Linked DNA regions of Macaca mulatta. The protein of the gene in region 7 binds, or shares a complex with, the protein of the main gene of each other region. Links are inferred from orthologs where the notes say so. Each region holds a gene or a part of one and is shown on either strand. Other genes may lie near its edges.

What was found.
Region 1: LSM8 (region 7) and LSM6 share a complex: the UniProt entries of both Homo sapiens proteins name them as parts of the precatalytic spliceosome. The link is inferred for Macaca mulatta from reciprocal best matches to the Homo sapiens genes LSM8 and LSM6.
Region 2: LSM8 (region 7) and USP39 share a complex: the UniProt entries of both Homo sapiens proteins name them as parts of the U4/U6-U5 tri-snRNP complex. The link is inferred for Macaca mulatta from reciprocal best matches to the Homo sapiens genes LSM8 and USP39.
Region 3: LSM8 (region 7) and TXNL4A share a complex: the UniProt entries of both Homo sapiens proteins name them as parts of the precatalytic spliceosome. The link is inferred for Macaca mulatta from reciprocal best matches to the Homo sapiens genes LSM8 and TXNL4A.
Region 4: LSM8 (region 7) and LSM2 share a complex: the UniProt entries of both Homo sapiens proteins name them as parts of the precatalytic spliceosome. The link is inferred for Macaca mulatta from reciprocal best matches to the Homo sapiens genes LSM8 and LSM2.
Region 5: LSM8 (region 7) and LSM4 share a complex: the UniProt entries of both Homo sapiens proteins name them as parts of the precatalytic spliceosome. The link is inferred for Macaca mulatta from reciprocal best matches to the Homo sapiens genes LSM8 and LSM4.
Region 6: LSM8 (region 7) and PRPF4 share a complex: the UniProt entries of both Homo sapiens proteins name them as parts of the precatalytic spliceosome. The link is inferred for Macaca mulatta from reciprocal best matches to the Homo sapiens genes LSM8 and PRPF4.

The regions. Positions count from the first base shown.
Region 1 is NC_133410.1:154,723,916-154,727,938, reverse strand, and holds the start of LSM6 (U6 snRNA-associated Sm-like protein LSm6), read right to left. Parts: upstream 2,801-4,023; 5' UTR 2,741-2,800; intron 1,419-2,740; exon of another isoform or gene 1,315-1,418; intron 1-1,314. UniProt on the Homo sapiens protein: Plays a role in pre-mRNA splicing as component of the U4/U6-U5 tri-snRNP complex that is involved in spliceosome assembly, and as component of the precatalytic spliceosome (spliceosome B complex).
Region 2 is NC_133418.1:38,743,441-38,745,716, forward strand, and holds the end of USP39 (ubiquitin carboxyl-terminal hydrolase 39), read right to left. Parts: intron 1,824-2,276; coding exon 1,737-1,823; intron 1,012-1,736; coding exon 964-1,011; 3' UTR 501-963; downstream 1-500.
Region 3 is NC_133423.1:1,023,845-1,028,093, reverse strand, and holds the start of TXNL4A (thioredoxin-like protein 4A), read right to left. Parts: upstream 2,801-4,249; 5' UTR 2,747-2,800; coding exon 2,594-2,746; intron 1,098-2,593; exon of another isoform or gene 985-1,097; coding exon of another isoform or gene 949-984; intron 1-948. UniProt on the Homo sapiens protein: Plays a role in pre-mRNA splicing as component of the U5 snRNP and U4/U6-U5 tri-snRNP complexes that are involved in spliceosome assembly, and as component of the precatalytic spliceosome (spliceosome B complex).
Region 4 is NC_133409.1:150,509,462-150,513,464, reverse strand, and holds the start of LSM2 (U6 snRNA-associated Sm-like protein LSm2), read right to left. Parts: upstream 2,801-4,003; 5' UTR 2,591-2,800; coding exon 2,588-2,590; intron 1,979-2,587; coding exon 1,911-1,978; intron 1-1,910. UniProt on the Homo sapiens protein: Plays a role in pre-mRNA splicing as component of the U4/U6-U5 tri-snRNP complex that is involved in spliceosome assembly, and as component of the precatalytic spliceosome (spliceosome B complex).
Region 5 is NC_133424.1:18,849,963-18,854,062, forward strand, and holds the start of LSM4 (U6 snRNA-associated Sm-like protein LSm4), read right to left. Parts: upstream 2,801-4,100; 5' UTR 2,695-2,800; coding exon 2,692-2,694; intron 1-2,691. UniProt on the Homo sapiens protein: Plays a role in pre-mRNA splicing as component of the U4/U6-U5 tri-snRNP complex that is involved in spliceosome assembly, and as component of the precatalytic spliceosome (spliceosome B complex).
Region 6 is NC_133420.1:45,029,425-45,032,924, forward strand, and holds part of PRPF4 (U4/U6 small nuclear ribonucleoprotein Prp4), read right to left. Parts: intron 2,655-3,500; coding exon 2,567-2,654; intron 2,176-2,566; coding exon 2,096-2,175; intron 1,929-2,095; coding exon 1,835-1,928; intron 1,117-1,834; coding exon 1,022-1,116; intron 1-1,021. UniProt on the Homo sapiens protein: Plays a role in pre-mRNA splicing as component of the U4/U6-U5 tri-snRNP complex that is involved in spliceosome assembly, and as component of the precatalytic spliceosome (spliceosome B complex).
Region 7 is NC_133408.1:157,720,108-157,723,025, reverse strand, and holds part of LSM8 (LSM8 homolog, U6 small nuclear RNA associated), read right to left. Parts: intron 1,804-2,918; coding exon 1,676-1,803; intron 1-1,675. UniProt on the Homo sapiens protein: Plays a role in pre-mRNA splicing as component of the U4/U6-U5 tri-snRNP complex that is involved in spliceosome assembly, and as component of the precatalytic spliceosome (spliceosome B complex).

The DNA.
Region 1 (4,023 bases), on a different chromosome or scaffold from region 7:
AAGCAAAAACTTGCAAGGAAACATTACAATCCAAGTAACTGCAGCACTAGACTAACAGATCAGTGTCTGAGGAGGCGATCAGACACGGAGAAGAACAGCTCTCCAAGTCCTCCCTTCTGACACAGTGGAGTGCCTCGCTGTCTTGTGAAGGCTTCATACCAATCCCTCCTTCCTGAGCAGCAGGCGCTACTTCTCTCCCTCTCTCCCAAAGGCGAAGTGAGTCCACTCAGAGCACCTCTTTCCACTCTCGGTCATGGTCCTTATCAGGCTGCTTTGTAATTTTTCCATTTGCTGACAGGTCTCCCATGGTGAGTTTTAAGCTCCTTGGGGACAGGGGAAATATCCTACTCACTTGGTATCCCTGGTACCTAAGCACACTGCCCAAGTCTGTGGAAGAGACATTCAAGGCCAGTGCCAAGCAAAATCCCTGTCCAGCCCCCACCAACCCAAACTATGGATACAGTGACTAGTAGGATCATGCACGTACTTCAACAAATACTAACCAAGTAATCTCTATTAGGACCACCAAAGACGGAGAAAACAACCCTTTCTGTCATTCAAGAACCAGCTGTTTCCAAATCTAGAGATGCTTGTTAAAATGCAGATTCCTGAAGTCTACTCAGGTAAAAGCACTGTATTTTACATTTTATGAAGTTCTCCAGATAATTTATTTAAGCAAATGGTTCTCAACTAGGGGCAGTTTCCCCAACCCCACCCCACCCTGCTCAGGGACATTTGGAAGTATCTGGGGACACTGAACTGTCAAGACTGAGGAAGGTGGTGCTACTGCTATACTAGTGGGTAGAGACCAGGGATGTTGCTAAACATTTTACAACAGGACCGCCCTCCACAACAAAGGACTGTCCAGCCCAAAATGTCAATGGAAGCTGAGAATCTCCGCTATAAGCCCTAAAAAAAAAAACCACCAACAACATTGTTCTTTGGTTTTAAAGTGAGGAGTTTTAAAGAAATCTCCAAAGTACAGCAAATGATAACCAAAAGCTACATTCTAACCAAATGATGGAGTGTAGATTATAATTAATCAGGGATGTTTTATTCTAACATAAAGGGAACCTGAAAACAACTGTCAAAATCTTGAAGGGGTTGCCATTCTAAATAATGGATTTCTAGTCTTAGCCATGAAAATAATCACTTTCCAATTTCTCAGTGTTACAGGTCCCTCCGATCATTAATCTGTTAGTACACTTTTAAAAGGAGAGAATAATCCAGGTGATGTAAACAAATTTTTAAATTCTAATATCTACTATGCCACAGTTCAGTGAGAGACTGCCTGATGCAGCACAGGGTACTCACTTGGGAGGCAGGAAACCTGAGTTCTAATCCCAGCTCTGCTACTTAATTAGCTGTGTGACTTGGATAACTCATCATTTCACTTCTCATGGCCCCAGGTTCCTCATCTGCAAAATAAGGGAGTTATGCCAGATGACCACTTAAGTCTCTTCCTGCCCTAACATTCAGGTAGTAACGCATTAACTCCAGTGACACACACACACACACACACACACCCACAAACATAAGCCTCTCAAGATTTCTGTACAATATTCAAGCAAGTAAAATTGCCAAACACCTGAAAAACTTTTTTGGAAAACACTGCAGCAATGTGTACGAAGGCCTAAAAAAGGCCTTACAGATGAAAGCATCTAATCTGATAATTTCACTTCTGAGAATCTAGTCCAAGGAAATAATCTAAAAAATAGGGGGGAAAAGGTTTATCAAAGTATTATCTGGGGTGCTAAGAGATTCAAAAATTCAAAAACAATCTATAATATCCCACAATCGGGAAATGACTGAATAATTTATGGGACCTACATTGCGATCCACAATGAGGGACAGTCAATCAAAAGAAGATACAAAACTAGAATAATATTTAGGAAGAGTTTTTAAATGGAAGTGGTAAACTATACTGTTAAGTGATTAAACATGTACACTCCTAGCTCAAGTAGAAGCTAGCATACACAGGAGAAAAAGATTGTAGGTGAAAGGGTTGTGAATACTATTTCTTCACTAAAGTCTTCCATGTTTGCAATTTTCTACAATAGTCACATATTACTAAGAGCAGTGGGGTAGGGTAATCCGCTTCATCCTAATGCTACACATCTTAAAAACGCCTGCTATGCACGCGCGCGGACACGCGAACGCACAGAAAACCTCGGGCAATAGGACTTAAGACCATACAATTGGGTTCCTAGGCCTGACAACTCAGTAAGACAGGCGAGTCGAGTCCTTAATTCCTGTGGTCAGGCGCAGCCACCCCGATGTAGGGAAGGGTTAGCAATTCCCTGAAGCCCTGGAAGACTGGCGAAGCCTAGGCCTGGGTTCGGGATCCGCTTTCCCGCCGAATCCTGGGATTAGCCTCGGGGCTCCCTGGGGAACTTCAACAACCTCAACTGGTCTCGGACGCCAACTCGGTGGGAGCCGGGACGGTGCCGCTACTCTCTGCGCAGTCTAAGCACCTCGCTGAGGGCGGTCCCGGCGCCCACTATCAGACCTCTCCGGCCATTCCGTGAGCGGAGAGCTTGGACGCGGCATTTCGCGGAAAGCTGCCACTCAGCGGCCCCTTCCCGGAGCCCCAGCCCGTTCCCCTCAGGCCCTTTCCGGGGCTGCCTCGCCCGGCCTAGGGCCGCTGCAGCCGCCGCTCCACAGCGCGACTGAACACTGGGGCGTCGAACCCGGGGCTACGCCCGGCCCCGTCATCGGCCCGCGCAGCCGTGCGGCTCACCTCGCGGGCGGGATCCAGAACCCTCACTCCAGGCGCCCCACGAGTCCGGCCTCCGCGGATGATCGCAGCCAAAAGCGAAACCGCCGAGGCAGCGGCACTTTTCTGCCTCGGCCAATCACTGCTCTTCTCTGCTACGGCAGCCCGCTGGGGCCGAAAAGCCTGTCAGCGCCGAAGCGCGCAAATCCGAGAATCCTGTTTTGTCTAGTAGCAAAATTGGTGCACTGGAGTTCCTCTGACAGAAATCTGAATACAAAACAAATATAATATAAAACAAAAACAAAAATCCAGGAAACTAGAAGTGATCTTTTGTCCAGGATTTATTTGCAGAAGTGTAAAAAATAACTTGAAGTCATAGGAAACTGGAATTTACTGTTTAAGTAACGGCACTGTGTACCCAGAAACGTCCTTGAATAGTTTAAAGCAAATAAATAAATAAAACACCTCAAGTCTTTAAATCTACCTCTGGATATTTATTAAATGTGTGAAGACTTAAGCCATTTTAGCAAGAGACTGTTTCCATGGCAATGTTGATTAAAAAATAATTAAAATCACTCAAGTAACTCCGAATTATAATGACATTAATTGTGTTACATTAAAAACTTGTTCCAATTGGAAATGGTGTGCAGACATTATTTAAGTGCTACTATGGGAACTTGGTTTGGAATTTTGCATGAATTCTCAACACTCTTTCTATTAATGGGATTGGAAGGGGGAAAAAAGAGAACTGTTACCCCAAGACTTGATTCCTTTACTCTCATCAGCTGAAAACTTACTTTAATTTTATTTATGGTTTGTAACGCTACACACAAAGCAATAAGATCTTCCAACACAGATCCTTAACCCCATTAGGTGTTATAAAATCTAAGATGCAGAATTTTTTTCTGAGATAAAGAATTCCTCCCTTGTAACCTTCTTTTGGCTAAAGGCAGAAGAAATGAACTTTTGATTGATATCAGGGACAGAAAACAAGTGGATGTGATTTGGTAAAGAATAGAGACTTCCTTATATCCTTCTATAAAAGCTCAGTTTGGGTAAAGACCAAACAGTTACTGATTTATTGAGAGGACTGTATTTGAAGTTCTTGCAATATAAAATATAATATAAATAAAAATTTTAAGAAAAGTACTGTTTAAATCAAATAATTACTTGCAAAGTACAAACATAACAGGATAAAAAGGCCTGTTCCTAAAAACTTTCTTTGCAAGACATCAAATTGCACATTCCTTACTGGTTGTTTAAATTATTAAAAAAAAAATAAAATAAAATTTTGATTCAAACTTCTT
Region 2 (2,276 bases), on a different chromosome or scaffold from region 7:
TGAGGCTGACTGGCTGCCTCCAGCTGCTTCCCACATCTTTGGACCTGCCACAGTGCTCATGCCAAGGTCACCCTTCTTCTAGGCTGCTAGAGCCCACTACAGAGCTGATGAATTGTCTGACAGGGAATCTTTGCCCTGGGGCTCCACACTGGCCTGGTTGAGACCTTCTCAGAATTGCACTGTAGTGAGAAGAACTTCGTATTTCCTTTCTTTCCTCTTCCCTTACTCATTCCTGCACTGCAGCCGGAGACTGCCCACCTCTGGCCTTCTAGTTAAGCACAATAATAATGTATCCCCTTGACTCAAGCATTTTTCTACTTAGAAATAAATGCATCCTAACTGACACACCACCCACAAGCTGACAGGAAACGGCGAGCATGGTGTCTGCCAGATGTCAGACTGTAGGGTAGTTTGTGAAGATTAAAAAGGAAAATATTTTCCTCAGCTAACCACCAAATGAAAAGATATAAAACAAGAGGCTAGTTTAAAAACAGGAGAATATTTAATCCATCTAAAAATACACATCAGGAAATGAAGGAAACCATAGGAAAATCCTCCACCTCTAACAGACAAGAGTGAGGTTACTGGCTTTCTGCTTGCTCCAAGAATCCCAAGGCTTGATGTTTGGAAGAAATTATCTGTTCTTCAGCTACTCCCAGATACTCAGACATAAGTTACACACATCTGGAGAAGGGTTCTGCCCTGCTGAAGCTAGAAGGGAGCTCGATGCATGGGAGAAAGGAGCATTAATCTAGAAAAAAATGATCAAAGAACAGCTGGGTGACAGTGTGGGGCCATCCCAGGCAAGTGGGCTCCTGGTGCTCTGGTGTAGCCAGAATCCATACAAGCTGGGCTGGCCCAGGGAGGCCCCCAGTCAGCCTGTAGCTGAATAGCTACAGCTTCTGTGTTCTTATTTACCATCATCAGCCACAGCCCTCGGAAGCAAAGCCCTGGACGCCTCCTTCAAGCCCCCTGCTGGTTGGTTTCATCATTATCTCGCCTCTTCCAAATCTGTAAGAAATGAAAACACAAACTGAAGTCTAGGAGGCATTCAGTCAACAGATACTTGTCAAATACCTATTCTGTGCCAGGCCATGGATAACTCGTCATGCCATTTACAAACCTGCTATACTCCATCTGGAAATCTGCTACAGTGGCTACAGTCACTGAAGGGAAGAAACAGTTATCTCTAGGAGAGGTATCACTTTCTTCTTACAAAGCTATGGCTTTTGTCTCAATCTTCCTTCTTTTGCCAGGTACTAGGGCAGTTACATAAAGAGAAGACAGAGATGCTCTGTGCTCCACGGGTCAATCCAATGGAGAGGACAGACAGGCAAAGCAATATGGTCGGCACTAAAACAAAAGGCAAGCAGAAAGTGCTGTGGGGTCACAAAGAGAGCTCTGCCTGGGGCTCTTGAGGAGTACTTCACAGTCGACTTCTAGCCAGCCTCCCTTCCTCCTTGAAACTAGACCGCACACTTCTGCAAAACTAATCTAGCCATAATCACAACTTTCTTTGCTCACTCATACATTTTCTTATAACTATTTTCTGAAAATCTCTGCTTGACTTTCAGGGCCATATATTCTGGCCCCAACTCACTCCTAAGTACTTCCCAACAGGTACCTGGCCCTCCAACCAAGGTCCTAACTCTATCCCTCTTCCTGCCTTGGCCCACTCCTCTCACTGGCCCCATACCCCACCTATTTGTGGCTCACTAAGCCTGTGGCCAACCCACCTGAATGTAAGCCTCTGACAGTGTGATCATCTGGGGAAGGATGTCAGTCACCTGGAGGTCTTGTAATTCATACCATTTGCCTGTCCCCTGCAGAAAGTATGAAGAGCTGGGTTAGTCTGCTCTCTAAAACCAAAAGGGTGTAGAAGGAAATGATCATAGCCAAGGTTAGAAAAATTAGAATAATAGCCACTAGACATCATCCAGCAAGAATCATAAAGAAGAGAGTACATGGGCCGGGCGTGGTGGCTCACGCCTGTAATCTCAGCACTTTTGGAGGCCGATGCGGGTGGATCACAAGGGCAGGAGATCAAGACCATCCTGGCTAACACGATGAAACCCCATCTCTACTTAAAATACAAAAAATCAGCTGGACGTGGTGGCGGGCGCCTGTAGTCCCAGCTCCTCAAGAGGCTGAGGCAGGAGAATGGCGTGAACCTGGGAGGCGGAGCTTGCAGTGAGCCGAGATTGCACCACTATACTCCAGCCTGGGTGACAGAGCGAGACTCTGTCTCAAAAAAAAAAAAAAAAAAACAGAGGGTA
Region 3 (4,249 bases), on a different chromosome or scaffold from region 7:
TGTTTCCAGACTAACTTTCTTCCTGAAGTTCACAGCTCAGCTCTAACCCAGCATGAGGCCAGTGGGCCTTGTGGAAGCAGCAGATCAATACAACACATCCAGGAAAAAATCGTATCAAGTCCAGCCGAACATCTGCAACTGTTACTCACTTTAAAACAGCTGGGACATCGACAGGACTCTTAACAAGATAAGGAAGATTCTCCATTATCTGCCATTTCTGCACAGGGAAATTTTTAAATAGTTATATTGTTCTTTATACTAAAATCTTACATTTCAAAAATTTCTGTTGAGTTTCCCCAAAAGAGCTTCCAGAATTAGAAAGTCATATTTTGCCCATATACTAAGAAGAAAATAAAACACGAATAGTCTTTTAATGCATTTCAGGTTTGCACTTATTTTTGGAGACAGGGTCTCACTCCTGTTGCCCAGGCTGGAGTTCAGTGGTATAATCATGGCTCACTGCAGCCTTGACTTCCCGGGCTCAGGTGATTCTCCCACCTCAGCCTCCCAAGTAGCTGGGACTACAGGCATGTGCCACCACGTCTGGCATTTGTACTTTTAGTAGAGAACGGGTTTCACCATATTGTCCAGGCTGGTCTCGAATTCCTGGGCTCAAGTGATCTGCCTACACTAGCCTCCCAACCAAAGTGCTGGGATTACAGATATGAACCACCGTGCCTGGCCTAGGTTTGCGCTTTTAATAATTATACTATAATATTTGCATTAAAAGTTTATTAATAAAGCAATCCAAATTTTTGGACAGAAACAAAAATCAAACTATTTTAAAAGACCAAAAAAAAAAAAAAAATACCCCAAAGTGAGCCCATTTCAACTGTCCTTAAGTGTGTGTCCACTAGTGATACAGTGATTCATTCTGTAATAACAAAGAAATCGGACATAAAGGAATTGGAAAAAAAGAGCAAATCTGGCAAAGACCCTAACACTTACATTAACACATAAAATCTGTTTCCTAGCTAAGAGCATCTTGCTGAGCTCTGCCTGGATGTGATGAGACAAAGGCCCTCACATCGCCAGCCATCCTAGCCTCGAGCTGCCGGCAGCAGGATCTGAACACCAGCTGATGTTTATGCCACCACCTGCAAGGTAGAACAGTGAAAGATTCTAGAACTCGTAACTCAAAGTCAGTGATTTACAAGCAGTGATTTACTTATTGGGAAACTGCTCTTCGTCAATTCTTCGCTGGATTTCCAGTATCTGCCCTTGTCCACTACAAGTCAAGCAATGAAAAGCTGATGTGCTGGCACTGCCTCACTCATCATCTCTAATCCCTGGCTGGCAGAAGCCCCAGTGTGAGAGAACTGCTGCTCTCCTGATTCCCTAGGCAGCTCCTCAAGTCCTCAGTGTCCTGCTGTCCAAGAGGAAGAGGCTGGGAGATGGCTGGTAATAAAGCACTCCGCCTCTGTCCCTGACCCCCATGGAAGGGTTTCTGAGTGTGTGGTTCAAGGTCAGGTCACATCAGAATTCCCTGAGGGGCTTCTTTAAAAAGCCATTGCTGGACTTCACCCCACACCCATAGACTCAGAATCACAGATGCATTTTAGTAAGCACTCCAAGAGATTCTTGTAATAACTAAAATATAACAACAGTTCCTAACATCACACCTCTCCTACTAAATAAGAAATAGCAAGAATTAATAAATGGCAGGCCAGACAGTCTTTCCTTTCCTCAATATAAAATGTCTTTATATCTGTTACTCTTTACTCAAAGGAGTTATTTTAACCCAGCCTACTTTAGCATCTGTGAAAGAAAAGATAGCTTCAATGTTACTTTTACTCTTCATCAAAATGAATAACCGCTCAAATTACTTACGGAAAATTAATATGGCAAATATTTTATTAACACCCTAGTATTTGTGCCCTTTGCCCTATTGCTACAGCTGCAAAACCTAAATAAACGCCATCCTAAAATTGCTGTGAGGAACCACAGAAAAAGAATGAAACCTGGTTATAGTGTCCCACAACTTTTATTGTCAGCAAGTAAGTGCCAAGGCCACTCAATGTACTAATATTAGAAATTCAGAAAACTAGTTCCAACAAAGCATAGTTCTATTTTCTCCCGATGTTTTCTGCATCTTAATCACTCTAAGCTATAAATCACATGACTTACAAAAAGCGCGGTGGAAGAAAACACCAACAGAAAAACAGGATTTCTTATGCTATTAACATGAAAGTTCTGCTTTACACATACAACAAACAAACAGGGCACCAGAAAAGGGCATCCTTTTAAATTAAGGATCTGCGCTCTCAAAACCTGCAAGTGTTACTTTGTTCACTGCACTGTAAGATTGGGAAAAACGCCTTACCAACAGAAATAATGAATTCCTTCGAGGGGAGGGGGATCATAAACCCTTTAAAACGTGAACAACTACAGGAGCTCCCTGCAGAAAAAGGCGCGAAACGCCGGCACAGTCCCCGAGAGCGCTCGCCCGCAGCGCGGGAAGGAATCGCCCGGACAACCGCGCCGCGGCCCCTCCTCGGGGAACGGCTCGCGCCCCCAGGCGAGGCCGGCGGGGCAGAGGCGCGGGGCCGCTGCGGAAGCACAGCCAGCAGGGCGGGAGGGCCCGGCGCGCTACCTTCTCGGCGATGCTGTATAGGACCTCGTCCATCTTCATGCAGGTGGGGTCCCAGTCGTGGCCGAAGCGGATGACGACCACGCGGTCCTCCTCGGAGAGAATGGCCTGGTCCACCTGCCAGCCGTTGTGCAGGTGCGGGAGCATGTACGACATGGCGACCCGCGCGCTCGCCGCCGCCCGAGGCCGGGCGCCAGGGAGGGCCCAGCGAGGTGGTGGGCTCAGCCGGCCCCTCACTCCGCGGCCCCCGCCGCCCCCGGGCCCACAGCCGAAACCCGGTCCCACCCACACCCGCAAGCTCCGCTGGCACTGCCGCCGGGCGGAACCTCTGGGCGCGCACGCACCGACGCCGTGCGTGCTGACGTCATGCGCACGGGCTGGCGCCGTGCGTGCTGACGTCACGCGCGTACAGACGCCGCGCTAGCTTGTCGTTGGCCGGCGGGAGCGGCGGCGACCTGGCCACGGTGGAGCGCGGTTGGTGCCCTCCTAGCCGGCGTCGGAGTGGGGGTTCCTCCCCAGCGTCCAGGCGGCCTGGTGGTCCTGAGAAGCCCCGGGCTCGCCGTGCCCTGCCCCGACGCACCCGCCCCGAGGCCGCCCGCCGCCGCCCGGGCTGTCCTCCAGCCACGGATGGGGACGTCTTCAGAAAGGCCCGGCATGCCCGGCACTGCGGCTCGTTTTTTTCCTTTCTGGTGTCTGTTTCGGGTCATCGTTTGTGCTGTGTGTTAGCGAGACGGTTCGTGTGTGTCATTTGTGAAACTTGACCATAAAAATGTGTCGTTGTTGCCATACCCAGCCACGGCAGAGCCGAGCAGCGGGGTGGGGGGAAGCACTGGGCAGGCCGTCCTTGAGGAATGTCACCGTCAGGCCGGCTGCTGAGCTGCCTGTTGTAACCCGAAACCAGAGTTTTTGTCTTTTTATAAAGAAAAAAAATTTTTTTTGAGACGTTGTCTCGTTCTGTCGCGCAGGCTGGAGTGCAGTGGCGTGATCTCGGCCCACTGCAGCCCCCGCCTCCCGGGTTCAAGCGCTTCTCCTGCCTCAGCCTCCCCGTAAGCTGGGACTACAGGCGCCAGCCCGGCTAGTTTTTTTGTACTTAGTAGAGACGGGGTTTAACCATGTTGGCCAGGCTGGTTTCGAACCCCTGACCTCAAGTGATCCGCCCGCTTCGGCCTCCCAAAGCGCTGAAATTACTGGAGGAAGCCACCGCGCCCGACCTGAAGCCAGTTTTATTGCATAGCTTCAGCATAACTTGCACCTCCAGGACTGATCTGGCTCCCCCGGCTTCGCTCCCCAGACCCTTACTGGTGCCTATGAACTTTCTCCAAGAGAAATAATATTTCTCTTTTTAAAATAAAACCTCTAATCTCTGTTCTTCTGAGAGAGCACTTTGGGTTCATGTTAGAGACTCCCCCTGGTTTGCAAACTGACATTGACAGTAAAACTCTTGTCTACTATCCAGCCATCCTGGTGGTCCTTTGGATGACAAATTGACAACAAATCATGCCCGGGCGCGGTGGCTCAGGCCTGTAATCCCGGCACTTTGGGAAGCCGAGGCCGGTGGATCGCCTGTGGTCGGGAGTTTAAGACCAGTCTGACCAACATGGTGAAACCCCGTCTCTACTAAAAATACAAAAAAATTACCCGGGCGTGGTGCCGCGCGCC
Region 4 (4,003 bases), on a different chromosome or scaffold from region 7:
TTCCTCATATGTATAACAGCAATAGTACATATTACTAAGGAGTGTTTGAGAAATCAATCAATAAATGTATTCAGAATAGTGCTTAGTCAATAGGTCTTCAGATATTATTTTTCTTTCCTTAAGCACCTATCATACAACTGGCCTATACTAGGTATTAGATACACAGTAGCATATCTAATACGTAGGTTTCACCATGTTGGCCAGGCTGGTCTCAATCTCTTGACCTTGTGATCCACCCACCTCAGCCTCCCAAAGTGCTGGGATTACAGGCATGAGCCACCATGCCCAGCCTATGGCCTGTTCTGTTTTTTTGTTTATTTTTTTGAGATGGAGTCTCGCTCTGGTCGCCCAGGCTGGAGTGCAGTGGTGCCATCTTGGCTCACTGCAAGCTCCACCTCCTGGGTTCATGCCATTCTCCTGCCTCAGCCTCCCAAGTAGCTGGAACTACAGGCGCCCGCCACCACACCAGGCTAATTTTTTGTATTTTTAGTAGAGATGGGGTTTCACCATGTTAGGCAGGATGGTCTCAATCTCCTGACCTCGTGATCCGCCCACCTCGGCCTCCGAAAGTGCTGGGATTACAGGCGTGAGCCACTGCGCCTGGCCTGGCCTGTTCTTTTTTGAGACAGTCTTCCTCTGTCACCCAGGCTGGAGTAAAGTGGTACAATCATGGCTCACTGCAGCCTCGACCTCCTGGGTTCAAGTGATCCTCCCACCTCAGTCTCCCGAATAGCTGGGACTACAGGCATGTAAACCACATCTGGCTAATCTTTTATAGAAATGGTTCTATGTTGCCCAGGCTAGTCTCGACATCCTGGACTCAAGTGATCCTCCTGCCTCAGCCTCCCAAAGTGCTGAGATTACAGGTGTGAGCCACCATGGCCAGCCTAGTACTTACTCTTTATTTATTTTTTTTGAGACAGAGTCTCACTCTGTCACCCAGGCTGGAGTGCAGTGGTGTAATCTCAGCTCACTGCAACCTCTGCCACCCAGGTTCAAGCGATTTTCCTGCCTCAGCCTCCCAAGTAGCTGGGATTACAGGCACCTGCCACCATGCCTGGCTAATTTTTGTATTTTTAGTAGAGACGGGGTTTCACCATCTTGGCCAGACTGGTCTTGAACTCCTGACCTCGTGATTCACCCACCTCGGCCTCCCAAAGTGCTGGGATTACAGGCATGAGCCACACGTCCAGCCCATGAGCCACCACACCTGACCAGTATTTACTCTTTAAACTGTATATTGCTTTGTATTGTTTTCCAATACACAATACAATCCCCAAGCTTATCTGTAAATTTAAGGCACAAGGCATTTATTTATTGTTAAATTTTAAAATTTGTCTTAGAGATGGGGTCTTGCTCTATTGCCCTGGCTAGAGTGCAATGGAGTAATCACTGCTCACTGCAGCCTCAAACTCCTGGGCTCAAGCAATCCTCCCTCCTCAGTCTCCCAAAGTGCTCGGATTACAGGCGTGAGCCACTGCACCCCACCCATTTATTTCTTTTGTTTGTTTGAGACAGAGCCTCGCTCTGTCACCCAGGCTGGAGTGCAGTGGCGTGATCTGGGCTCACTGCAAGCTCTGCCTCCCAGGTTCACGCCATTCTCCTGCCTCAGCCTCCAAAGTAGCTGGGACTACAGGGGCCTGCCACCATGCCTGGCTAATTTTTTGTATTTTTAGTAGAGACAGGGTTTCACCGTGTTAGCCAGGATGGTCTTGATCTCCTGACCTCGTGATCCGCCCACCTCAGCCTCCCAAAGTGCTGAGATTACAGGCGTGAGCCACCGCACCCGGCCATTTATTTCTTCTGTACATATTCCACCTCACCCAGCCCTCAAATATTTCTCAAATTAAAGAGGTTCCAGGGCCCTGGGCACACCCACCCCCAACAGACTTGTTGGAACAGGTACCTACCTCAGGTCATTCTTGAGTTCCACGACCACATCCTTGCCCACAAGGGACTTGAAAAAAGAATAGAAGAGCTATTGGGAGAGAGGGGGAAAACCATCATGTGGGAAGGAACATGGTAGGGAGGAGTGTCCCTTGACAGTATTACCAAATACCGGTATTGTGAACCCCATTGCATCCCTAACAGTTCTCAAAATTTCACAGGAAAGAATAATTGGTTGAGAGGTGAAAGGCTGGAGCCCAAATTATTCTGCACACTGCATTGAGCCCATCACTTAAAGTCCCAGAGAGGCTCTGCCCTGCATACCTCGGCCTCCCCAGTGTGCTCTCTCAATCGACCACCTTTCTCGGGTACCTGCCCACTCCTTTCAATGAATTACAGAAAACATCCCACCCGCACCCTGCCGAAGCTTGCCTGGCAGAGAAGTGCTCTAAGGTCTAACTTTTCCGTCTCCCGCTGTCCCCACTGAATCTCTCTCAGGGTTGGGGTTTTTTTCCTCATCATGGAAAAAAAAAATCCCATTTGCTCTCAGGTGTCTCCTCAACGAACTTGAGGAACAGGACTAACGATGAAGATAAAAACTCCGGACCTAACTCCAGCCTAGGGGGACAAAGGCCAGACCCCCCTGCCCCAACCGTCCGAGATCCCCGAGGGCGACCCCTTTTGACGTCACGGTACCCACCATGGTGCTGGCGCAGCGGGCAGCGGGCCGGAGCGAGAAAAGAGCCGGATGCTGAGACCAGGTCTGGGAGAACCGAAGCGCGAGCCCGCGCGTGGGGCGAGGCGGGACCGCGCAGGCGCAGCGGGAAGGGACGCAGAACCCTCCAAGCGCTGAAGGGTAAAGCGCGGCCGACTTGCGGCTGGGGAGCGCAAGCTGGGTAAAACCGAGGGGAGGAGGAAGCCGGGAAAGGGGCGGGGTTTCCTTCGTTCCGACTTCTTCCAGGGCCGGCCGGCTCCCATTGCGCAGGCGCGGACCCTAGCCTGGGCTGCTAGGCGGGTGGAGGCACTCGGCGTCTGAGCTCAAAAGGTTTTGTTTTCCATAACCCTGCCGTCCACAGCGTGATGTGTTCGTGCCCTCTACACACATCCTATCGAGAATTGTGGGGAGTTTGTGAAGATTATGAAGTGTGCACTTTTCTATATTTGTTAAAGTAAAAACATAAAATTCAAAAAATAAAATTAAAAAATGTTTTTAATCTTAAATTCAGCTGATAAAAAAAAAAAAGGCCGAGGGCGGTGGCTCACGCCTTCAATCCCAGCACTCTGAGAGGCCAAGGTGGATGGATTGTGTGAGGTCAGGAGTTCGAGACCAGGCTAGCCAACATGGTGAAGTCCCGTCTTCACTAAAAATACAAAAAAAATTAGCCAGGCGTGGTCGCGGGCGCCTGTAATCCCAGCTACTCGGGAGGCTGAGGAAGGAGAATTGCGTGAACCCGGGAGGTGGAGGTTGCAGGGAGCCAAGATCATGCCACTGCACTGCAGCCTGGGCGACAGAGCGAGACTCGTCTCAAAAAAAAAAAAAAAATTGGCCGGGCGCGGTGGCTCACGCCTGTAATCCCAGCACTTTGGGAGGCCGAGACGGGCGGATCACGAGGTCAGGAGATCGAGACCATCCTGGCTAACACGGTGAAACCCCGTCTCTACTAAAAAATACAAAAAACTAGCCGGGCGAGGTGGCGGGTGCCTGTAGTCCCAGCTACTCGGGAGGCTGAGGCAGGAGAATGGCGTGAACCCGGGAGGCGGAGCTTGCAGTGAGCTGAGATCCGGCCACCGCACTCCAGCCTGGGTGACAGAGAGAGACTCCGTCTTAAAAAAAAAAAAAAAAAAAAAAATTGACCGGGCGCAGTGGCTGACGCCTATAATCCCGCACTTTGGGAGGCCAAGGCAAATGGATCACCTGAGGTCAGGAGTTCTAGACCAGCCTGGCCAACATGGCGAAATCCTGTCTCTACTAAAAACCCAAAAATTAGCCAGGTGTGGTGGCACGCGCCTGTAAACCCGGGAGGTATAAGTTGCAGTGAGTGGAGATCGTGCCATTGTACTCCAGCCTGGGCAACAACAGTGAAACTCTTGTCTCAAAACAACAACAACAACAAAA
Region 5 (4,100 bases), on a different chromosome or scaffold from region 7:
GATCCTCAAAATCTTAAAAGAAGATACATCAAAGTGCCAGGTGAGGCTTGGCACAGTGGCTTGCGCCTATAATCACAGCACTTTGGGAGGCTGAGGTGGGAGGATCACTTGAGCCCAGGAGTATGAGACCAGCTTGGGCAACACAGCAAGATTCTGTCTCTACAAAAAATGTAAGAATTAGACAGGTTTAGTGACGCATGTGGTCCCAGCTACTTGGGAGGCTGAGGTGGGAGGATCACTTGGGCCGGTGAGGTTGAGGCTGCAGTGATTGTGCCATTGCACTCCAGCCTGGACGACAGTGAGAGCTCAGTTCCAAAAAAGAAAAAAAAGTACAGAGTGCAGTGGCTCACACCTGTAATACCAGCACTTTGACACACCGAGGTGGGTGGATCACCTGAGGTCAGGGGTTCAAGACTAGCCTAGCCAACATGGTGAAACCCCATCTCTACTGAAAATACACAAATTATCCAGGCGTGGTGGCGCATGCCTGTGATCCCAAGCTACTTGGGAGGCTGAGGCAGGAAAATCACTCTCTCCGAGAGGTGGAGGTTTAGTGGGCTTTCTTGCAGCATCTGGAATCTGGTTCTCAGGTCTAGATCCACAAAGACCTAATCCAGTGCCTCCTAATTCAGGAAGCTGTCCAGGACTGCCCATCCCCGCTCCTAACCCAGGCCACTCCTTCTGGCCCTGCCCTGATCACAGGGAACTGGAAGTGTGTATCCCATGATGCCTTGTCCATTCTTGGCCACTCCTCCAGGAAATGGCTGGATAGCCAGGACTCTGGATGTTCAGAAGGTGGGAAGGGGCTGAATGAATGAGTTCACACTTTGCCCAGGCACCGTTCTACACACTGGGAATATAGTTGGAAGAAAAAAAAAGATTCTGCTTCCACAAAACTTAACACGGGTGGATCCTTCCAGCTCTGCCCAGTCTTGCATGCCAACTCTGCCCTCTAAGTACATGGCAGAGGGACAGGCTCTCTAAATCCTTGCTCTTGAAACCGCCTTTGCAAAAATTGTAACTGAGGAAATTATGACAGCGAAAAGAGATCAGACCTAACCGACTCCATCGTGCTTCTAACCTTTAAGCTGTTCTTGTTTATTCCTGGGCATAGGCCGAACTAACCTTGGGAAGGGATTTAGTGTATAGTTTGAAACAAAATTGGTAATAGCCCTTTCCCGAAAAGACCCTTTTCTTGCCTGGGGACCAGTCTGCCTTTGTAGGACTAACAAATTAGCTGCACGATTAGAAATTATTGTTTACGGGTCATACAGCCTCTGGCTGCAAGAGTCTGAACCTCCCCAAATTGCTCCTAGGGATAACATCACTATTATAAAATCTAAGATCAGTGTTTGAGATATTTTGCAGACCCTGTACTTGGTGGATCAGCTGACACCACCCAGACCAGTAATTTGGCTCAACCAGTCCTGCAATCCCACCCAGGAACAGAAGACAGCAAGAAAATCTCACTTCAACCCCCGCCCCCGCCCCCCCCCCCCCCCCCCCCCCGCCAATGACTCCATCTCCAACCTCAGGAAGCTCCAACCAATCAGCACTCCCCACTTCCTGAGCTCCTACCCGCCAAATTATCTTTAAAAACTCGGATCCCCTAATGCTCAGGGGAGACTGATTTCAGCAGTAATAAAACTCCAGTCTCCTGCATAGCTGGCTCTGTGTGAAATACTCTTTCTGTATTGCAATTGCCCTGTCTTGATAAATGGGCTCTGTCTAGGAAGCAGGCAAGGTGAACCCGTTGGGTGGCTACACACTGACCAGCTGGATTTAGGGAGAGCTCTCTCACTAATCCACAGTTCTGATGCAGCCACCCCTGGGGGGCCCTCCTGGTTACTGAATCTCCCACTGTCTCACAGTCTGGAAGTCACATCCCCAACAAGGGCCTTGGTTTCTCTCATTGAAAAAAGAAGGGCCAGATGCTGATGAGCCAGGAAACTCCCAGCTCTGGATTCCTTTTCTGATCTGCACACTGGGAGACACAGGCACTTTCTAGCCCAGATCCAGAACTTACAGAATCATAAACAATGTGGCCCTGCAGAGACCTGGGCTGCAATTTTTCCTTCTGTGTACGGGGAGGATGTACTTTGCCCACCCCTAGCTCAAAACGCTCCCTTCCTCTGGAATGACATGCTTTGTGAACCAAGGAGAAACACCACACCCCAGCACCAGGCCTACTTTTCAGCCAGAAAACAAGAGGCCTAGGAGGCTCTGCTGCTAGCATTTTAAGCATCTTACAAGCTCTGAAATTCCTAAAACCAAGTTTCACAACTCAGACTGGCCCCCTACTTCCCAGCACTCTAGGTTTCAATCTGGGAGGTCAGACTGGGTCCGAAGCGTAAGGGACCCCCTTCCCTGCCCAAAAACTCTCTGTTGCATTTGGCAGATCCCCACTTTTTTAACCTCAGTTTCCCAACCTGCAAAATGGGAAAACTAAGTAAGGCGAGGCCACTGTACTGTGGATACGAGTACGTGCAACCCTAAATCCCAGACACGAACGTGGTAGAACCACCTGCAGTCTCCAGCATCAGTTTCCCGGCCTTGTGCCGGGGGACGGGACTCAAGGCTCGGACCGTACGTTCGCCCCGCGCCAACCCAGCCCTCAGCGCCCGCCCGCAGGGCTCCTAACGACTGCGGTTCCCGCCTCCCGGTGAGACCCCGCCGTTGCTCTGCCCTCACCATGGTGCCGGCGGGGACCGGGCTCGCCGGCCACTTCCGCCGCCGCCGCTGCACACGCTCCCGGCGGTCTTCGCCACGCCGCGCCGCGCGCCACTGGGCTGAAAGAAAGTGGCAGAGACGCGAGCCAGTCAGCACCGGGCTAGAAGGGCGGTTAACCAATCCACGCGGAGTGGGGCGGGGCCCGCTAGGCGAAAGGGGCGGGCCGGGCCGTGTTCCCGCCAGAGGAACGAGGAAGAGAGCCGTAAAGTGCCGCGGCTTGTAATACAAAAGGGGGCGGAGCAACGCGCGCCGGGGCGGGGTGCATTGTGGGTAAACGCGTGCGCAGGTGAAACCTTCGTCGGTCTTCTGGGCTCCACGCTGTGGGCAAAGCCAGTAACTGCCTTTGCAGTTGAGGGAGAGAAATCCAGGCTTCGTGGTGATTGGGACGTCCCTGGTGTCGCCCTTCGGACTCCTAGTTTTCTGATTCTGTAATTATCCAGGGAACATCATTTAGTAGGTTGGAATCCTGACCACGACCCTCGGGGCCTCAGTTTTCTCCCTGTAAATAGTAGTGTCTGCTCCAAAACGTTACTTACTATGAGGATGAAATGAATGAAACCGTGTAAAAGCACTTAAAACAGCGTCTGGCATATATTAAGTACTTAATACCTATTCTGTGCCTGCTTCTGCTCATAGAAATGAACAGTACACAAAATTCGTGGCCCTTAGGGAGACAGACAGTAAACAAAGTAAATAGGCGAATGCTATTAGTTCCCTGGGGCCTGCTGTAACAAATGCCCACACACTGGGAGGCTTAAAACAACAGAACGTGATTTTCTCATAATTCAGGAGACCAGAATAATGAAATGAGGTTGTCAGTAGGGTTGGCTCCCTCTGGAGGCTCTGAGGACAATCTGCGTGTCCTATGCTTCTCTCCTGGGTTCTGGTGGCTGCTGGGAAACCTCGGAGTTCTTGGCTTGTAGATGCAGCCTTCCGCGTTCTGCCTCTGTCGTCACTTGGCCTTCTCTGTGTGTCTCTGAGTCTCAAACGACTCTCTCCTTTTTTTTTTCTTTTTTTGTAGAGACAGGGTCTCCCTATGTTGTCCAGGCTGGTCTCGAACTCTTGGGGTCAAGCAATCCTCCCTCCTCTGCCTCCCAAAGTGCTGGGATTACAGGCGTGAGCCACCGAGCCCAGCCTCTCCGTTTTCTTATAAGGACACGCCTTTCTCTTATTAAGCCCACCATAAATTCAGGATAATGTCATCGCAAGATCCTTAATTACATCTGCAAAGACCCTATTTTTTTTTTTTTTTTTTTTTGAAATGGAGTCTCATTCTATCACCCAGACTACAGTGCAGTGGTGGGATCTCAGCTCACTGCAATCCCTCCGTCCTGGGTTTAAGGGATTCTCCTGCCTCAGCCACCAGAGTG
Region 6 (3,500 bases), on a different chromosome or scaffold from region 7:
ATCATTTATACTTTACAGTGAAGGTAATGAGGCTTGGAGAGGTGGACTGATTTGTGCAGTCCCTTGGCTTTCTCCTAAACCAGTCTCAAGGTCGGCCTAGTCAAGTAGCTCCTGTGTATTAAATCTAAGTTTCCTTTCTCTTTAGTTAGCCATGTCTCACAAAAAAACACAACCATTTGGGAGGCCGAGGCGGGTGGATCACAAGGTCAGGAGATGGAGACCATCCTGGCTAACATGGTGAAACCCTGTCTCTACTAAAAATAAAAAAAATAAAAAAAAAATAAAAAAAAAAAATTTGTCAGGCATGGTGGCAGGCACCTGTAGTCTCAGCTACTCAGGAAGCTGAGGCAGGAGAATGGTGTGAACCCAGGAGGCGGAGCTTGCAGTGAGTGGACACTGTGCCACTGCACTCCAGCCTCGGCGACAAAGTGAGACTCCATCTCAAAAAAAAAAAACCAAACCAAACCAAACAACCAAACTCAAACAAAACAACAAAGTTACCACATCCTGAGTTTTCTGCGTATGTGGTGATAAGAAAATAAAACAAAGATAAACCAATAATTAACATTTAATGAGCCCTTACTACATACCAGGCACTGTCAAGGCAAAATGCTTTACAAACACTACCTCATCCCACTTTACAGATAAGGACACTGAAGCTGACAGGGATTAAGTATCTTAGGGAGATCACATAACTGAAAAAGAAAAGCCAGACTGAGTTATGGATACTAGTTGGTCTGTAAACTCACTACATGACCTGCTCCAAAATACTAGTGTCAAGAATGTGACAGAGTGCTAGAGTGTAATGAATCTCTGGGGTCACTGGTGAAGACTGAGAACGGCTAAACCAAGTCTGCATCATATTATACAACAGGTAGAGCACTGACTGATATCTGTAGTTTGGTGTGATCATGAGAAGCAGAGAAAGAGGACGTACAAATAGACGTCTAAGACAAATGCTAATATTTTCCTGAGCCTGTTCCCCATTTAGGAAAAAATGTCACTGTAAAATGGAACTTACCAACAAGCTGTGGCCAGCATCTTGGAATTGGGACTAAAGTGACAGTAGGAGATAGGCCGATCATCCCCAATCTGACTGCAAAAATTATTCAAAGACTTAAAAAGAAAAAAAACACACACACACGATGATCATTAATAGGTTAATCTGAGTTCCTTGGCTTTTCCACCAAAAAAAGAACAACAAAGCAACTTTTCAGTTTTAACCCATCCCAAGATTCTTCTGTGGTTTTGAGACAGAGTGTTGCTCTGTCGCCCAGAGTGGAGTGTAGTGGTGTGATCTTGGCTCACTGCAACCTCTGCCTCCCAGGTTCAAGCGATCCTCCCATCTCAGCCTCCCAAGTACCTGGGATTACAGGCGCATGACACCATATCTGGCAAATTTTTGTACTTTTAGTAAAGACAGGGTTTCATCATGTTGACTAGGCTGGTCTCAAACTCCTGAGCTCAGGTGACCCACCCACCTCTGCCTCCCTAAGTGCTGGGATTACAGGCATGAGCCACTGCACCCAGCTGTTTTCTATAGTCTTAGTATCACAACTTCTGAGTCAGATAAATATAAACAGAAAACCCCAGAGAAACTTTGACGTATTAACAGGGAGAAATAAAGAAGAGAACCATAGGCCTCTGCTGAGTACAAAGCACAGCAAGCTCCTGTCACGTTAACTGATTGCTCCTTCCATGTCACAGCAGCTCAGCTCAAGCAGGGAGGGATCGCTCTAGTCACCTCTACCTTCCCAGAGGTGGGCCAAAGTAGAAAAATCACACAAATATGAAGAACCTTTAAGACGTGGGACAATCACTGGGAGCATCTTACCCGGAGAGACTTGTGCAGCTCTTGCATCTGGGAGGTCCTTGTTGTCTCAGGAATCTCCTTATGGAGTCGGGCCTCTTCCAAGCGTTTCATTGCCCTGTGACACAGAAACACCATCACCAGGAGCAACAGGGTTGTAAACAAGGGTCCACATGTATCTCTACCCCTCAATTTCATTTAACAACCACAGTCATTATCAAGCACTCAGTTCCTGAAACACACACACAAAATATGCTTCTTTCTTCTACTGGAGGCTCTCTTTACCTGGGCAATGAATAATTAGCAATCCATAGTCTTGCCACCTTCAAGCTATTTGGTCCTTCATGGTACCAGGTCTGCTGATACTGAAAGGCAAATTAAGAGCAGAAAGGTCAAATCTGAAGCATTCTACTCCTGTCGTTTCTCCATGTTAACTGCCCAGAAGGAAGGTGAATTCGTTTGGTAATAGTATGAAATCAGGCATATGGCTTTCTACCGTATTTTTTTTCTATGATATGTAAATAGATGGTTATACCAGGAATGCTATGATTCTTTCCTGACTGGAAAACTCACTTAGCTCCATTCATACTTACAAAGGAACCAAAACTACTGCCAGCAACTATTCTTGAATGGTAGAGCCTTCAAAGACACTTCCCTCCATCATCTTAGCAAAGCAAACCATTGAAAGCAGAAAATGAGAGACCTATCTCCTCATTTCCTTCATGTTTACACTGTGAAGTTAAAGACATGTTCTACCTCTTCTTTGGACTTCTTAGACTTCTCATCATCCTTTTTGGTCTTTTTCAAGGCATCAGTACCGACGACTGAGAGGATATTTCTTAACCTGTTAAAAAAAAAAAAAAAAAGATCAGAATTTAAACATGGTTGACATAACACTGTTTTTAAAGTACACTTTAACACAGTTTTAAACACTGTTTTTAAAGCTCCCCTAAGATGGGAGCAAGCCTCTACTATTCTCTTACTGTTCAAACCACCTAGCAACCTTTTTTTTTTTTTTCTTTTCAAGAGATGAGGTCTTGTTGTTGCCCAGGGTGGAGTGCAGCGGCACGGTCATGGGTCACTGCAGCCTCAAACTCCTGGGCTCAAGCGATCCTTCCACCCCAGCCTCCTGAGTAGCTGGGACTACAGGTATAATGCTACAACTGGCTAATTTTTAAATTTTTCTGCAGAGACAAGGTCTTGCTATGTTGCTCAGGCAAGTCTTGAACTTCTGGGCTCAAGTGATCCTCCTGCCTCAGTCTCCCAAAGTGCTGGGATTATGGGCATAAGCCACTATGCCCAGCCCTCCAACAACCTTCAAAGAGTCAAGTGGGGATGGCTAAACTCCCACTGTGGTTTCTCCCACTCAGTCTTCTCTATTTGGAAATTCCCAAAATTCAACTATAAGCAATTACTCTATGCAGTTTAGAGTCAATGAGCCCCTACACTGCTACCACTTGGTTTGTGAAGACTGCCAACTTTCACTCAGTGCCACAATGTACTGGATACGGACTCAGGTGCTAACTGTACAGTGATGACTAAGAATCCGTTCTTGATTTCAAGTAGCTTAGTCCTGGGGAAACGACAGAGAGTACTGGCGAACTATATTATATTACCTATCACGACAGCAGTAAGCACACAGTGCTAGAGGGGACTTTGTAAGGGGGATCTAACTAGGCTTAGAGGATCA
Region 7 (2,918 bases):
CCTCCCAAGTAGCTGGGATTACAGGCATCCATCACCACATCAGGCTAATTTTTGTATTTTTAGGAGAGATGGGGTTTCACTATGCTGGCTAGGCTGGTCTTGAACTCCTGGGCTCAGGTGATCCACCCACCTTGGCCTCTCAAAGTGCTAGGATTATAGGCGTGAGCCATGGCACTGGAACCACACCAGCCACTTTTCTTTTTTTTTTTTTTTTGAGACGGTGTTTTGCTCTTGCTGCCCAGGCTGGAGTGCAGGGCTGTGATCTTGGCTCACTGCAACCTCCACCTCTCAGGCAAATTCTCTTGACTCAGCCTCCCAAGTAGCTGGGATTACAGGCTTGCGCCACCATGCCTGGCTAATTTTTTACATTTTTAGTAAAGACGTGGTTTCACCATGTTGGCCAAGCTGGTCTTGAACTCCTGACCTCAAGTGATCCACCCACCTCCGCCTCCCAAAGTGCTGGGATTACATGCGTGAACCACTGTGCCCGGCATTTTTTTTTTTTTTTTTTGAGAAGGTATCTCAATCTGTCACCCAGGCTGGAGTGCAGTGGCATGATCTCGGTTCACTGCAACCTCCACCTCCTGGGTTCAAGTGATTCTCCCACCTCAGCCTCCCGAGAAGCTGGAACTACACGCGCACGCCACCAAGCCTGGCTAATTTTTGTATTTTTAGTAGAGACAGGGTTTTGCCATGTTGGCGAGGCTGGTCTTGAACTCCTGACCTGATCCACTTGCCTCAGACTCCCAAAGTGCTAAGATTACAGGCACCACGCCTGGCCAATTACTCTTAAACTTTTATATCTGTCTGTCCCAAGTAAACTGAGGCCACAGGGACATCGTAAGTGTGTCAATGATACTAAAAAATTAAAAGAAAATGAATAACAAGTAAGTACTTATTTACAAATACATCTATGTTATTGAGCATGAATTAGTATTGTTCAAATGAGAGATTTCAAAACCATTTTTCAAACTTTGGCCTTGGACTCTAGAAATATGTTCCTCTAAAATTCTGGGTATTTCTAAGAACATTTGAAGAAGCCTCTCTAATGAAGTATTTAATATAAGGCAGGGCCCTTTCTGGACTCTAACCAGGCTACTTAACTAGTAGAAAAATGGGAAAATCTCAGGTAAGTTTAATTTGTAGAGAGAAAGCTTTGGTTGAAACATAAAGTGTTGACATAAAATGTATAGCTATGCCTTACTTTATGCAAATATAAGAAACGCTGTATTTACAAAAGAAATGAATGCAAGATTCTATTAATTACATATGGACAATACAATAGGGTACTTTGGGTAAAACCTCTTCTCCATAAAGTAAGGCAGTATCGGCCGGGCGCGGTGGCTCACGCCTGTAATCCCAGCATTTTGGGAGGCCGAGGCGGGCGGATCACAAGGTCAGGAGATCGAGACCATGGTGAAACCCCGTCTCTACTAAAAAAATACAAAAAATGAGCCGGGCGCGGTGGCGGGCGCCTGTAGTTTCAGCTACTTGGGAGGCTGAGGCAGGAGAATGGCGTGAACCCAGGAGGCGGAGCTTGCAGTGAGCCAGGATCGCGCCACTGCACTCCAGCTTGGGCGACAGAGCGAGACTCCGTCTAAAAAAAAAAAAAAAAAAAAAAAAAAAAAAAGTAAGGCAGTATCATTTATAATTTTAACAGATATATTTTACTTACACGTTGTCACCTCTTACAATGTATAATCCTAGTACCACTTGCTCTACCCCCTGTGAAGAGCTGAATACTCGCTCATGGCTTTCATCCAAAATCAAATTAATGGTCTGGTCAAAACCTTTCAGTGTTCCCTGTAAAGAAAATATTCAGGAGAAAAAGAGAAATATTCTGGTTTACCTGAAAGTGTAAATTCAGCCTCACAATCATTTCAGTTGCTAAGTATTCCAATACAAGTAACAATACAATGTCAAATAAAATACCTTTTTTATAACCAACAGTATTCGAGGGTACACAATTTACCTCTTGGTTGTTTGGCTGGGGTGGGGGTCCTGCACCACACATCTCACTCATATGCAGAGTTGACGGCAGTTAGAAACGACAACTATGTACTAATTTGAGTATCTCCAAAAAGTAACTAGCATAAAAGCTTACGAAGACCAGCAGCTAAAGGTATAAACTAAAACAAAGGAGATTTAAGGGAAACTGATGGGCAAATATACATAAATAAGGAAGAACCATACATACCAACTACAGCAATGTAATGTATCACTATATGCTACATACCAGCACTAAGCAGTGTGCTAAACACATCGTACACATTGTCTCAACTCATCTCTACCCTTTAATACTATAATTAGCCCCATTTCAAAGAAGAAACTGAGGCACAGAGTGGTGTGTCTTATGGGCACATGGGTAGTAAGTGGCAGAGCCAGGAGATGAACCACAAAAGACTAGCTCCTGAGTCAGACCACTAAACCGTAACATTCTATACTATCATGCACAAGTAAATATAATTTGCCATTTTTCAGAGATTCAAATCAGTCCCATAAATATTTTAAAAATTTAGTAGTTACATATAACACCTAACGAGTACTTACTAGTTACCGGTGCTCCGTCTGTCTCACATGTATTGTTTAATGTGTATCAAATGGATGTATTATTGAACTCTCCCAGTAAGGTAGATACAAATGTGACTATACTAATTAGAACCAGAACTTGAAGGAAATAATCAGGGAGAGTTTTATGAAAGTTTAGAATTGAATAAAAGAAGGCATGGGTCTAGCATAACAGAGTAACTCAGATGGTATTCAAGTTTCTGAAGAATTATCAACTAACATTGGTTTTGATGGTTAAATCTCTCAAGCTCTTAAACTGTTTTATCCTCTGAAAGTCAAAATATATAAAATGAGAATTAAATAAAAAGAAATCTATAACTTGGAAGAGAAACAAAATATGGAGTATTTAT